3 linked regions of the Arabidopsis thaliana genome follow. The protein of the gene in region 3 interacts with the protein of the main gene of each other region in a pairwise test. Each region holds a gene or a part of one and is shown on either strand. Other genes may lie near its edges.

Region 1 (3,302 bases), on a different chromosome or scaffold from region 3:
GAGTTCACCTTTCATGTAACCATATAAGCATTGCTCAAACTACTTGACACTAATCTGGTTTTGGGTTTTGCTGCTAGGTCTCACTGAACCTTTGAAGATCATGACGAAAAAAGGATCGTCTCTTGTTTTTTTCTTAATTTTCAGCTTCATATGTCGAAATAAAGAGAACTGTGAAGAAGACGTGAATTGTTTTTGTACACAACTTTGTAAGACTTGCTGCTTCTGTTTTAAGTTACTACTTGTGTGTTGCACTTCCTGATCATGTTGTTATTTTGCTGTCAACAAATTAATTTGAAATAAAACGCATTGCGAGATTCGTGTTTTTAGATCCAGCCTCCAATGATACGAATTACAAAGAAACACTAGAAATTAGTTATATTCGCTGTGTTAAGTATACAAATTAACACTTACGAAACTGAATTTGTTAATGGTTTTTATAACTATATCTGAAAACCAAAAAAAATATGCAAAATCATCAAATTGAAAATGTCTATTCTAGCAACATGAATTGTGAATAAATAAACAAACATCTATAATTCAAATTTTACTTGAATAACAATTTCATTTTGACTCTATTTTTGGTGAAGACAAAAAGTGTGCCTTCAACTTCAAGTCTTTAATCCAAGTAGCCAGTTTAGGAAACGGGTAAAAAAATAAATTATATAGAATAAAAGAATTTGATGTTGCAAACTTGAAAATAAGTTTACAAATCAATCTATTTAATGTTAACTAAACATGTCCGCTTGAAGCAAAACCTAACCGATCCGGACATATCATATATTATCTAGTTGGTGAGAATATTAAGAAGTGAAACTCTCGTCTGAATCAATCGCCGGAAAATAGATTCCAACTCTATTTCAAGCTCCACTACAGTAATCTCCGCCGCCTCCAACCTCGTAGTCGCGCTTTGCACCGCAGTCTCGTCCCATTCATCATCTAACAAATAGGAAGACCGAATGGAAAAGATCGAAGACAAAGACCCTTTGCTCGATCTCTTCTCTAGCCAAGGAATACAACCAAGTGAGAACAAAGACTCAACCATCGTCACAACGACTCTTCTCACTTCCTTCAAAACTTCTGTGACAAACAGAAGGTTCTGTTCTATTGGCATGGCCACTCTTCCTTCGTTTCCTTTCATGTTCTTCAAACAGTTTAAGCATTTCAGTGTCTCCTTCTTGAGCTTGTTCTTATACCGATTATACGCAGCTATCTTCTCGTTGACATCAGATGATTCGTTGCCACGTAGAGTCAGTTGTAGATCTTGCAAGCTGTGTTTCACGAGCGTCATCACATCTTTGGATACGTTACAGATGTCTAACATCCTCAATGAAGCTTCTGAAACTTGTTCCGTCCATTTCTCTTGTCCTTGTTGAGACAGAGATTCTCTTGTTTTCGGACAGTGATGGAGGAGATAGTTTACGCAGTCGTGTAGCTCTCTCAAACCCTCAAAGTTAATCTGAGCCATAGATAGATCTTAATCTATTCGAGATACTTAGCTTTATGAATGTAAAAAAAGAATTTGAAAAGGTATTTTTTGATGTAATTGTGAATGGTTTTTAGGGCTTCTTGAGAGTTTTAAGCGAAGATTAGAGATATATTGAATGTGTGTAAGAATGAGATTATATATAGAGGTTAAGAAGGATCTGAGGGAAAGTACGATGAAGGTTCCCAAGTTTGGGTTTTTGTACGGACGTGGGACATCCGGGGAACAGCTCATTTTGGAGGTATTATCAAAACAATGATTTAAATGATTCAAAACATGTCACAAGGAACCTTCTTTGTACGTAAGAGGCACTCGTGGATTAGGGTACATTGTGGATTCGTTTAGATTTTCAATTTATAATATATAGTTTTAAAGATTTTTATTCTAATATATAGTCTTAAGGTTTAATTATATACTATATACCATGCATGCACGAGCGACGGTGCCAGGCTGTGTTGGTAAATTGCAACAATTTGGAACAGACGGACGAATATTAAATGAGATGAGAAATGTTTAGATTTTGGATCAGACTTTAAATATTATGTTAAGGGTTTGTCAGATATGTTTTATGTATCAAGTTAAATGGATATATTAATTACCAACAAGAAAGTAATATAAGTCTTACAGTAACAGAAAACAAATAATGGTAACTACTTGATCAATATGAATATATGATCAATAATCATTTTAAAACCGGAACTTATCTTTGGCAATACATGCGATTGTGACATTGTGTTACGTGTTAACCTCTCAATATATGTTTCTGGACAAGCGAAATATTCACAGTTTCACACAAATACCAATATACCTTTTCTATAACGTGGACAGTAATAATACGCATACATTAATACATATATGTTTATATGTCTAATTTCTCTATCAATCAGGTAACCACCTCGACGGCTCGACGCATGAATACATCCTGGATTAGATTTTATGTTTAAGATCTTTATATCTCAGGTTATTTTCAACAAATTAATATCTTCCCACAAATTATATAATTAGATTCATATCCCTCCAACTCCAAATGCTGAAATGCTTTCATTTTTATTATGTTGTTAGTGCAGCAATCTTATTATTCGATTTCCCGTTTGGAAGGTATAGCTACTAATTATAACGAATAATCAACCATGCATTATATTTTCTCTGTTGTCATCATCATGTAGAGACATTATTGCGTGATTAAAAAAAGAGAAATAAGAAGACATTATTGCGTGATTATAAAAACACACAGAGAAAATAAGACATTATTGCGTAATTTCTTTAGCTATTTTTTTTGCAAACAACCCATCAAACATAAAATAAAGCCCATGAAACTCAATTAATAAGCCCATTATCTCAAATTCATCCTTACTCTGTTTTGCAACAACTTCTGATAAGAAAACTGATACACTCATCAGTCTCATGATTGTATAACTATAAACTTATGAAATATTCATAGAGTACTGAAGTGATCTGCTGATAATTGTTATCTCGAACTCGTATTCTTGACAAGTAATCGTTTGAATATGATTTAAGAACGCTGCACACAAAGTTTTACAAGTTCTAAAGATCAATATGATCTGAGAGACTTTGCCTAAACTAAAGCCAACAATACTTCACAATGAACAAAATTACATCTATACAATCTCAAAGAGTAAGCATGTTAAGAAAAGAAACTCTTGTCTTCAACAGTTTCTTATACACACACTCCAACTCTTTCTCTGTTTCTTCAATCTCATGTTCTGTTTCTCTCAACTTCTTCAGCTCATCCACATCAACTTCTTGATTCTTCTTATTAAAAATCCTCGACACAATTCCTCTCCTTGATCCTTTCTTT
Region 2 (5,859 bases), on a different chromosome or scaffold from region 3:
CAACCATTGAGACGCCGGTTGAAGATGATAAGACCGACGAAGGAGGTGATGCAGCTGAAGAAGCCGCTGATATACCTAACAATGCTAATGATCAACAAGAAGCACCAGAAACTGACATCAAGCCAGAGACCTCAGCAGCTACAACCTCCCCTGTTTCTACCGCTCCAACAACTTCCTCTACTCTAGCTTCTGCTATTACTTCAAGCGGAGCTCCAGAAACAGAAGATCCAAAAAGAGCACCGTCACCAGGTGGTGGAAGTTCAACTATTGTGACACTAGCTGATAGAGCACAGATGAAAAGACGAGAAAGAATAGCCAATATAGTAGTAAGTCGAGCTCCTAATCCAGCCACCAGAGGAGCTCGTGGTCGAACTGTAAACCTTCGAGGAGGAGGCCGATTGTTGCCTCGTGGTGGTCGAGCCCCACGTGGTGGACGTGGACAATCCCCGAGCCCACCATGATTTTTAGTGGGTATGGTTGAACAATTAGACTTATCCAAGGAGGCTCCTTGAAGAGAGAATTAATAACGGTAGAGAAACTCATTTTATGTCTAAACCTCTTTTCTTTTTGTATCCCGGTTTTCTTATATCACTATAAAATCAAACCTATCATTTTTGCCAATGATTACAAATTGCAAAACATATCATAAACACAACACAAAACCAAAAAAAAAAAGTGAAGAAAAAACCCAACATTACACCATACAACGAAACAATAGAAGAAGAAGCCATCTCGCTTGTAATAAAATCAAAGCAATCCGAAACAATCGGACGGTTTATATTGATCCTTAAAAAACCAAACCAAAAACACTACATGTTCTTCTAGTTAGCTCACTGTCCCGGTTAACTCTGTGTTTCCCTCTTCGACTGTATTAGACATCTCCATTGTTTTAAAATCAGCAACCAAGTCTTCTTCTTTCTTCTGTTATCATAGACATAAGATCATTCTCGTTAGAATACAATACATAGAACAAAAAGAGCATGATTGAGAGATATAAAGAGGAGAATACTAAGGACCTTTAATACCGGAGGGAACCTTAGCTTCTTCTGTACCATAACCTTCTCTCTGTTTTCATAAAAATCAAAATCATCTAAAATAGATGTCTTAGCTGCGTAGTTCTTAAAGATGTTCAACACTTCATTCCCTTGAGGCAACCTCACCTATATATGAAGGACAATGTTTAAACAGTATGAGATGAGATTAGCTCTTGATAATGATTCACTTCCTTAAGCCTATTAAGGAACTAATGTTACCTCTTGTGTGTCTCTGCTATTGGTTACAGGCTTGTTCTCATTGTTCTCTAGTATGATATGTCGTAGTTGCGGATTTGGAACATCTTTGATGATGTGCCACTTCACCGGAAAATAGCCAGTCCACTTATCTTGTTGCCAGAACTCCATGCTTTTCTCATAATCAACTCGTCCAATCATCTCAGCTACACCGCAGAATTGGCCACTTGCATTCACCTGAATCCAATAAAATCGATCAGAGACCATGAAGACGTCGCAAAACTGAATACGTATATAGCGAAAAATCCTAATAGCATACCGAGAAGAACAGGAAAACCGGGCACTTTCCACTTTTGTCTGCAGCCTTCTTCTGAGATTCTTGATATGCACTGTCTAACTTCTTGTTCCCATTGAGAGTACTAGACCAGACATTGTACTTGATGCTCTTGTGTATGTCGTCTTCGCTATACGATTTTATCACAAAAAAGATTGCTTCCTCGTATTTGGTCTGAAAGCTAGGGAGGTTATATTGATCCCTTCTGATCACAGAACCAACACCGTTGCTTCTTTCATTCCCTTCAGCATCCAACGAACATGACTCACATTCTCCATTGGTAATATGATCTTGACCGTTTGCTAAGTCATTCATACTTGTACCATTTTCTTTTGTCCTCGCTTTCGCCTTCTCTGTTTCATCCCGATTTAAAGCTCCAGACTTTTTCTTTACTGGGTCCATCGGGTAAGCAATGCGACCTTTTTCTTGGTTAAGCAGTGGGGGTGGGGCATAGCTGTTCTGTGATGCCTATAGCATCAATACAAAGAAAAAAAGATGAGTCAAACCTCTTCAGGTAATGTGAAAGAGAGAAGAATTAAAGAGTGTAAATGTTACTTTTCGCGGTGTTTTAGGACGATCTCCCATGCCGTGACCCGTGAAGGAGTTCTTGCTCTTTGAATAATAATTGTTGTGGTTATGACTTGAAGAAGATATGTTCTGTTTCAAGGGTGGGGTATATGAAGCAACACCATACACATACCTGTCTCCAACAGGGTCCCATAAATATGTGGGCGATGAAACATCTGCATAACCAAATTGGTTCTGATAATAACCCTGAGCAGCATACATCGGCGAATGAAGTGCTTGACTCGATACACCAACCGGGTTTATAGGCATATAAGTTTGGCTTGCATCATAAGACTGAAACCCTGGCATCAAGTAGATCACAGACCCATTTTCCCCTTGCATTACCTTAAAATCAAGATCAAGAAAATGGTCAGTTAAAAAGATCGAGTCACCCGAGTGAGTAATTCATTCTCTTCATGACAAGGAAGTTTTGATTACCGGGTACTGAACTTCTGTTCCATAACCATAGTATCCATTATCCTTTGCTTCTCCAACTGAACCATCAAGACCTGTAAAAACACGCTAATTCAGATTATGATCATCTAAAAGCAGAATTGAGTACATATTATATAGTATCAGTGTGTAAAAAGAAGCAAAACCTGGATAGTAGTATCCATAGTAGCCACCATAAGGACAAGGCAGGCCTTGATATGTCTCAAGAGTTTCATAATATGATGGCTCTGCCTCTGACTGATTCTTATTCTCTTTTGCAGAAACCTTTAATGTTGCAAAACAAAAGGAACACAAAAACACATAACTGATAAATCATCCTAAGAACCAAAACATATGAATCATCTGTAATAAACAGAGAAGAGAGAATCTTTATTACCATGGAAGTGGTGGAGGCAGTGACCTTAGCAAGAGGATCCACTTTAAGATTCTTCACCATATCTTCAAAGGCTGAAACAAATTAAACAAACGTTCCCGAAGAGATCAGATTCTGAAAAACACAAAGAAACAAGACATATGTATGTATAAAGTAGACACAAACATTACTAGTAATCTTTTTGATGCCTTTATTTTCTTAACTATGTGAAGAGACAGGTTTGAAACGTGAACTGATGTCTGAATATTTAGTCGTACCGATAAAAACTAATAACTAGGCGTGACTTATATATTTATAGTTAATATTGAAAATAAGACATATGAGTCTAATCACAAGAAACAGAGCACTATACACATAGACACACATATATATATTTACAGACACACAAACACAGGATTCAGATAAAAGGTCAAACGCAAAAGTTAAAAAGACGTGTAAGAACAACACAGATTAAACACGTGTGTGTAGGAAAGAAAGAGAGAAAGAGTACATTTACGAGGATGTTTTGGAACATGAGAAGTCATCTACGAAGAGTAGTAAAAGAAATTTATGTGTTTGACTAAGAATAAAAGACGAAAAAATCAAAACACAGATGAAGAAACCAAAACTCGAATCATCTGTTTCGCAGAGGGTTTTAAAAAGTCTCAAGAATTATTAAATTAGAAAGAAAAAAAGCTGTAGAAAATCTGTTTATCAAGAAGAAGACAACATCAGCTAAAGATATGTTTTATTTTTATGTTTGAAAACTAAGTACAGATACGCAACAAAGAAAAACAGAGAGAGGGAGAAGAAATGGTAATGGCTTACGACGAAGAAGAAGAAGAAAGAAGAACAGAGAGTTTTTTTTCTATTTTTTCTTTTGCAATCCTTCTTATTTATTTTCGATGTAAATTAAAAAATAGAGGTTGGGAAGAGGTACAGATGGAGGGAAGAGAATGGTCCACGTCATAAGGATTCTTGATATGAACGAAGATCGACCGTTGGATTAGACGACAAGGCAAAAACTTAAAACATCTTTTCTTGCCAACTTTTCCATCTGGAATCTATTCTTAACACAACTCTCTTGTAAGTGCTTCTTCAAAAAGTGATTTTAAAAAAGAGAATCTTAATTTGGCATTAACTAACACAATTAATTCTATAAAAAAAAATCATAGGAATACATATTCTATGGAAACAAAAAAAATGAAAGTTAGGACCAGTTCTTATGGTCGGGCAAACTATAAAAAGCACAGAAGAATATCATATAAGATAGTTGAAAAATTGGATTTGACTCTGCCTCTCTCTCCATGTATCCTTGAGTCCGAGCAATACCACACAATAAAAATAAAAACTATATTTTCCATTAAAAATGATTTATTATTCGATGAGTTTTACAACTTTTTAAAAAGTTTTCTCAACCATATAAATCATTAATTAATTCTTGTCTAACAAAATTTTAAATATTCTTTGATGAAAAGAGATGAACAATTCCTATACGCTACAGTTGTTGTTGGATTTTATTTTTTAAATGTTATTGAAGATTGTAGATTGAGATCTCATACTACTATTGATATGCTTCCATTATTGCAATCTGAGTTTTCTTTGAAAATTTGTATCATTAGGTGTCAAGTGGCCCATTCATTTGTGTACACTTACATATGCATCTATATTTCTTATGTCCCCCCACCAAAATCCAGATCTAAACTCATATGAAAGTCATCCATAAGTTTTAACTATCCTAGAAAATGATCACTCCTAGAATTTAATTTCTCTCTATTAGATTGGGACTACTAATAAACACACAATCACCTTACATAATTTTCTTCAAAAATGAAAGTGTTGTGTTTTTGCTCCATTTGTATTATATCCAAAGTAGATATTGCTTAGGGATCAAGTTATAATTGTCAACACCACATAAAAAGCCAAATAGGCCAAAAAAAAATAAGAAACACCATATGGAACTATTTAATACAATAAGCCAAAATTATGGAGCTTAAGAGAATTACAAGGTGCCACGTTTTGTCATTGCCGTGGCCTAAACGTGTCTGCTTCACATCTATATGATTTTCTTTCTTTTGTTTTCTTTTCCGTCTTTTATTTTTTTTTTTGTATTAAAATTTCTGTTGTTATATGTGATTACGTATGTCTAATTAAGTTTATAAGATTGCATCTTACAATTATTAAACCAAATCTTATATAATTGTAGAGAATTAATCTTACTTCAATTTGTTGACTTTGCTTCGATAATAACTTCGGTGCTCATCTCATAATTTCTAAAATGTGTATGCAATAGTATAAAAAGAAAATAAATATGGGGACAATCTTGTAATTATTGAAAGCTATTGTAGTCAATTAGAATATCATTAATATTGAGGCGTCAGATGCTAAAATTGAACGTATATAGGCGCCAATGGGCCTATTTACCTCTTTTAATAAAAGCCCATTTAACTCTCAAATTGTCATCTTCTTCTTACTTGTGCTTACAAGAACAAAACATAACAAAACACTTTGGTAACCAAAATCTTACAAAGAGTATCAAATGTTGTTACTAAACAGAGTGATTCTACATATCAAAATCAAAGCATCTCAATATCACATCGGTCGTGTCAGGTTTCGATTTCACAGGAACTTGGATTCAAAGCTTATCGAGTATTGCTTTGAGATGTGGTTGAAGAGGGTTAGTGGTTGTACTCATACGAACCACATACGATAGTTTTCCATCAACCAATTCAAATTCTCTACTTATCTCCTTCACCTGTTGGAGAAAAAAAACCCCATAAATCACCAATTAGAAACACAAAAATGTTGTGTGTAGAGACAGAGACATTGAATAAATAATAACAAAGAGAATTAATCTGAAACCTTTGAAGCGTTTCCCACAAGATCACTTTTGAGTTTGATTGATTGTTCATCTACATTGTATG
Region 3 (3,384 bases):
ATAGATGTCCCACGTATCATTAGATATCGCACTTTTACCGCAGGTAGACTGTAGTACATTCAAAGCTGTAGTACAACATTTATTCCTCACCCTCCTTTTTTGTTTTCTTTTGCTCCGACGTATCACGTTTATTGGGTCGTTTACTTTCTTATATTCCTTGTTTCCTCAAAACGTGAGTGCCGACAAAAGAAAAGAAAATATCAAAATCAAAATGTGATGAGTTCGACTGAAATATCTCTTCAAGTGAGTAACTAGCTCAAAGTAAGACCGGTTCGCTCACACTTTTTTGTAGCAATCAAGATGGTATGTTTCACATTTTTTGGACCATTTTGGAATTTGCATGTTTGGACGATCACTCGGACCGTAATTTCCAACCGTCCTTGCCGTGAAATCTCACAACATGCGTCCAATATAGGTGGGAACCGCACCGACGATACGCATTAAATACTTACAAAATTTTCCTTCATTAATTATTTTTAAGCAACAAGCTTGAAATTTAGCATCACAAATGCGTCAAGAACAAACAAAAGAAAGATGCATTTTTTACAAAAATTCTTAAATAAAAAACTATTTAAAAAACAACCAAAAACAAAGAAGGCATAAGAACAAAAACGACATAAATATATGTTAAACCATTAGAAATCTAATTAGTTCTGAATCCATATTTTATCATTGGAGGACATATCATGTGTAATGTTCGTGCCCATAGTGACTAAAGTTGATCTAACGGTGTCAAAGGCACAAAGCGGCCTTAACGTCGAGCCTCCAAGCAAAACCACCACCGACGTCCATTCTCCACACGTCGCAAGGCACCGTGACTGAGCCTCTCTCACGATTTTGACACGTGTACTGGAGTTTCATTCTGCATGTGAATCCAGGGGACGTTAGCATCGGCCTCTCCCTCATCACCAACCGTACGATCACGTGAAAACTATCGCCGCTAGTTATCTCCGGTGCACCTTCTTCCACGGGAATAATATCCCTAGCCATCTTCCGATACGCGTCATTAGTCCACGTGACTCTCCCTGAACCGTCGGATATGAAACCAGGACACGTGTCTCTCACAAGATTCATCTTCCTTTCTTCATCTGACCTCCCTAAACCGTAACCGTCAATCCAAGCGTCCGTTACACGCTCCACCGTCATACACGACGAAATCACCACCGTCCTCTGCACAATCTCCGGTGTCTGATAAGCCGGTGTGAGCATCCCTCCGCCGTCTTTGAAACTCAACCATAACGGACCCTGCCGCTTCTGCTTCTCCACCGCCGCCTTAAGATCTATAGGTTTCTCCGGTAATAGAGAAAGAGTCACCGCATTAGCACTGCCGTGAACGACGGGTTTATCCGACGTCTTCCGCCGGGTGCACCTCTTGGCGTTACCACCATTCTCCTTCAGCTGATGACATTTCCTCTTTCTTCTACTAGCTGATCTAAAGGAAACGTCGGAGCTTCCGCCGCCGCTATCTCCGCTGGATACGGGATTTACTCCGCCGGGGCTGGCCGGTTTAGGAGCAATGGGACGAAATCGAAGCATGATGCGATCTGCTTTGGAAAGATCGTACGGTCCAGAGCCAATGGCGTACCTAGCTATGCAACACCCTCCCCTACCGTCCATTTTTTCTCGCTATCTATATCACTCTTGATATTTTTGTGTAAAGAATGTTTGAGAATTAGGTAAAAGCTTTACTTGAGCTGAGGAATACACTGAACAGAAATGGTAAGGGTTTTATAACGTCTGTGATCTGGACACGTGTTGGAGTCTATACTAGTTGTGACATGGACACGTGTCTTTGCCTGCACGCTTGTGGTTGTGTTGGGTCTAGAAGACAGTAGTAAAGGGTTTGGGTTGCACATGGAAAGTTATTCTCTCTTTTTGTTTTTTTGCCTAAGTTATTCTCCCAACTCTAACCATTAATTTTACCGTTCAGTAAAAAGAACTGTAACTTTATATATTAGTGTAGGAGAAAAAAAAGTTTGGTCTATGCTATGACAGGAGTGATAGTTCTTGTTGCAAGAAGAAAACATAGTTCTTGTTGAAGATTATGTATTTTGGGTCGAGTTTTTTTTTTGGTTAACTTCACATAAATCTATGCATATAATCTTTTTGATTATTTTTACCACTAACCCTCAACTCATTGCTTCGTTTTGGGGCAACGTCAAAAAAATGTTAGGCAAAAAGATAAAAAGGTATAATTTGGTTAAAATTAGTGACAACATCCCTATACAATTGTGAACGAACTAATAAGATTCTTGGACTTTCGTATATTTCCCAACCACACTCTTAAAACTAATCCATATACTATAAATTTAAGAATAACACAGTTTTTTTATTTAAGTTTTTTTTTTGTTATTTGCCAATCAAGTACTAATACAACCATATATAGAGTGGATCACTGGTCAGTAATTAGTTCCAAAATTTGCAAATTAATCTCCACTTACGAAGCGATTTACTGATGTAACAATAGTGAAGAGATGGCAAAATCAAGTTAAAATATCTGACAACAAAAATGGTTTTTATACGCACGAGTCACACGACTCAAAAGGTGATGAGTCGATCGATTATAATTATAATCATTGACCAAGTCTAAATTTAAAGCGAATGGCATCTTAATTAAATTTAAAGTGATTGTGACAAATTAGATCTGAAAGGGGACAAGATGATCTCATGCGTAAATGAACTTAAAGATTTGGTGACAAAAATAAAGATTAGTGCCAATGGAGTTAGGTAATCGTTATTGAAATATCAAGAAGGAATATTGATTAATCAAATATACTCCTATTGTACCTATCTATAGTAAATGATTATAACAAGTATAATCATCTATATCTGGTTTATAGGTGTTTCCTTAATTTAGCTATTAATATTAGAGGAATTCTTATGGACAAAACTTGGATACATTCATAATACATATATAAATTTTACTTGAGCTTCTGCTTCGAGATCTTCTTTTGAGGATAGACATATTCAAACAATAACGGATTTGACAAATAACAGTTATAGTTTGACCAGTAAATGAGTTTAATGGCTATTAGCGACTTGATATATATGTTTTACGAGTTCGAATCTAATTTTTGCAAATGGGAACAAAGAAAAAATTTAGGCCAGTGGACCTATGCCAAACAAAGAGTTTGATTGTGTAACTTTGTTTTCTCAAGAGATGGTAATTAGTTTCAATCTTCTATATGCGTCAGATACATATTACTGTCCAAACCATTTTAAATTTCTGATGAGCTAAAAACATTCTCAAAAAGACATTATTCAATCTGTTTGAAGTCTATTTTTTTGGGTAGAATAATAAACATCTCATAAGAGTTCAAACCAAAATCTTAGTCTCCAAAGATTTTTTGTTATCCGTCGGCTTAGTTTCTAGGATTATCTTGT

The links.
Region 1: the proteins of AT3G48510 (region 3) and AT1G76210 interact in a two-hybrid assay, tested with the Arabidopsis thaliana proteins (one large-scale study listed by BioGRID).
Region 2: the proteins of AT3G48510 (region 3) and ECT8 interact in a two-hybrid assay, tested with the Arabidopsis thaliana proteins (one large-scale study listed by BioGRID).

The regions. Positions count from the first base shown.
Region 1 is NC_003070.9:28,594,418-28,597,719, forward strand, and holds AT1G76210 (DUF241 domain protein, putative (DUF241)), read right to left. Parts: upstream 1,580-3,302; 5' UTR 1,466-1,579; coding exon 785-1,465; 3' UTR 533-784; downstream 1-532. Other genes in the region: AT1G76220 (hypothetical protein (DUF241)), read right to left, coding at 3,113-3,302.
Region 2 is NC_003070.9:29,813,778-29,819,636, reverse strand, and holds ECT8 (evolutionarily conserved C-terminal region 8), read right to left. Parts: upstream 4,168-5,859; 5' UTR 3,481-4,167; coding exon 3,447-3,480; exon of another isoform or gene 3,122-3,446; intron 3,031-3,121; coding exon 2,960-3,030; intron 2,848-2,959; coding exon 2,730-2,847; intron 2,640-2,729; coding exon 2,569-2,639; intron 2,476-2,568; coding exon 2,119-2,475; intron 2,032-2,118; coding exon 1,549-2,031; intron 1,467-1,548; coding exon 1,254-1,466; intron 1,161-1,253; coding exon 1,017-1,160; intron 922-1,016; coding exon 826-921; 3' UTR 533-825; downstream 1-532. Other genes in the region: NUA (nuclear pore anchor), read left to right, coding at 1-461; AT1G79260 (nitrobindin heme-binding domain protein), read right to left, coding at 5,571-5,690, 5,798-5,859.
Region 3 is NC_003074.8:17,966,836-17,970,219, forward strand, and holds AT3G48510 (AtIII18x5-like protein), read right to left. Parts: upstream 1,756-3,384; 5' UTR 1,618-1,755; coding exon 733-1,617; 3' UTR 519-732; downstream 1-518.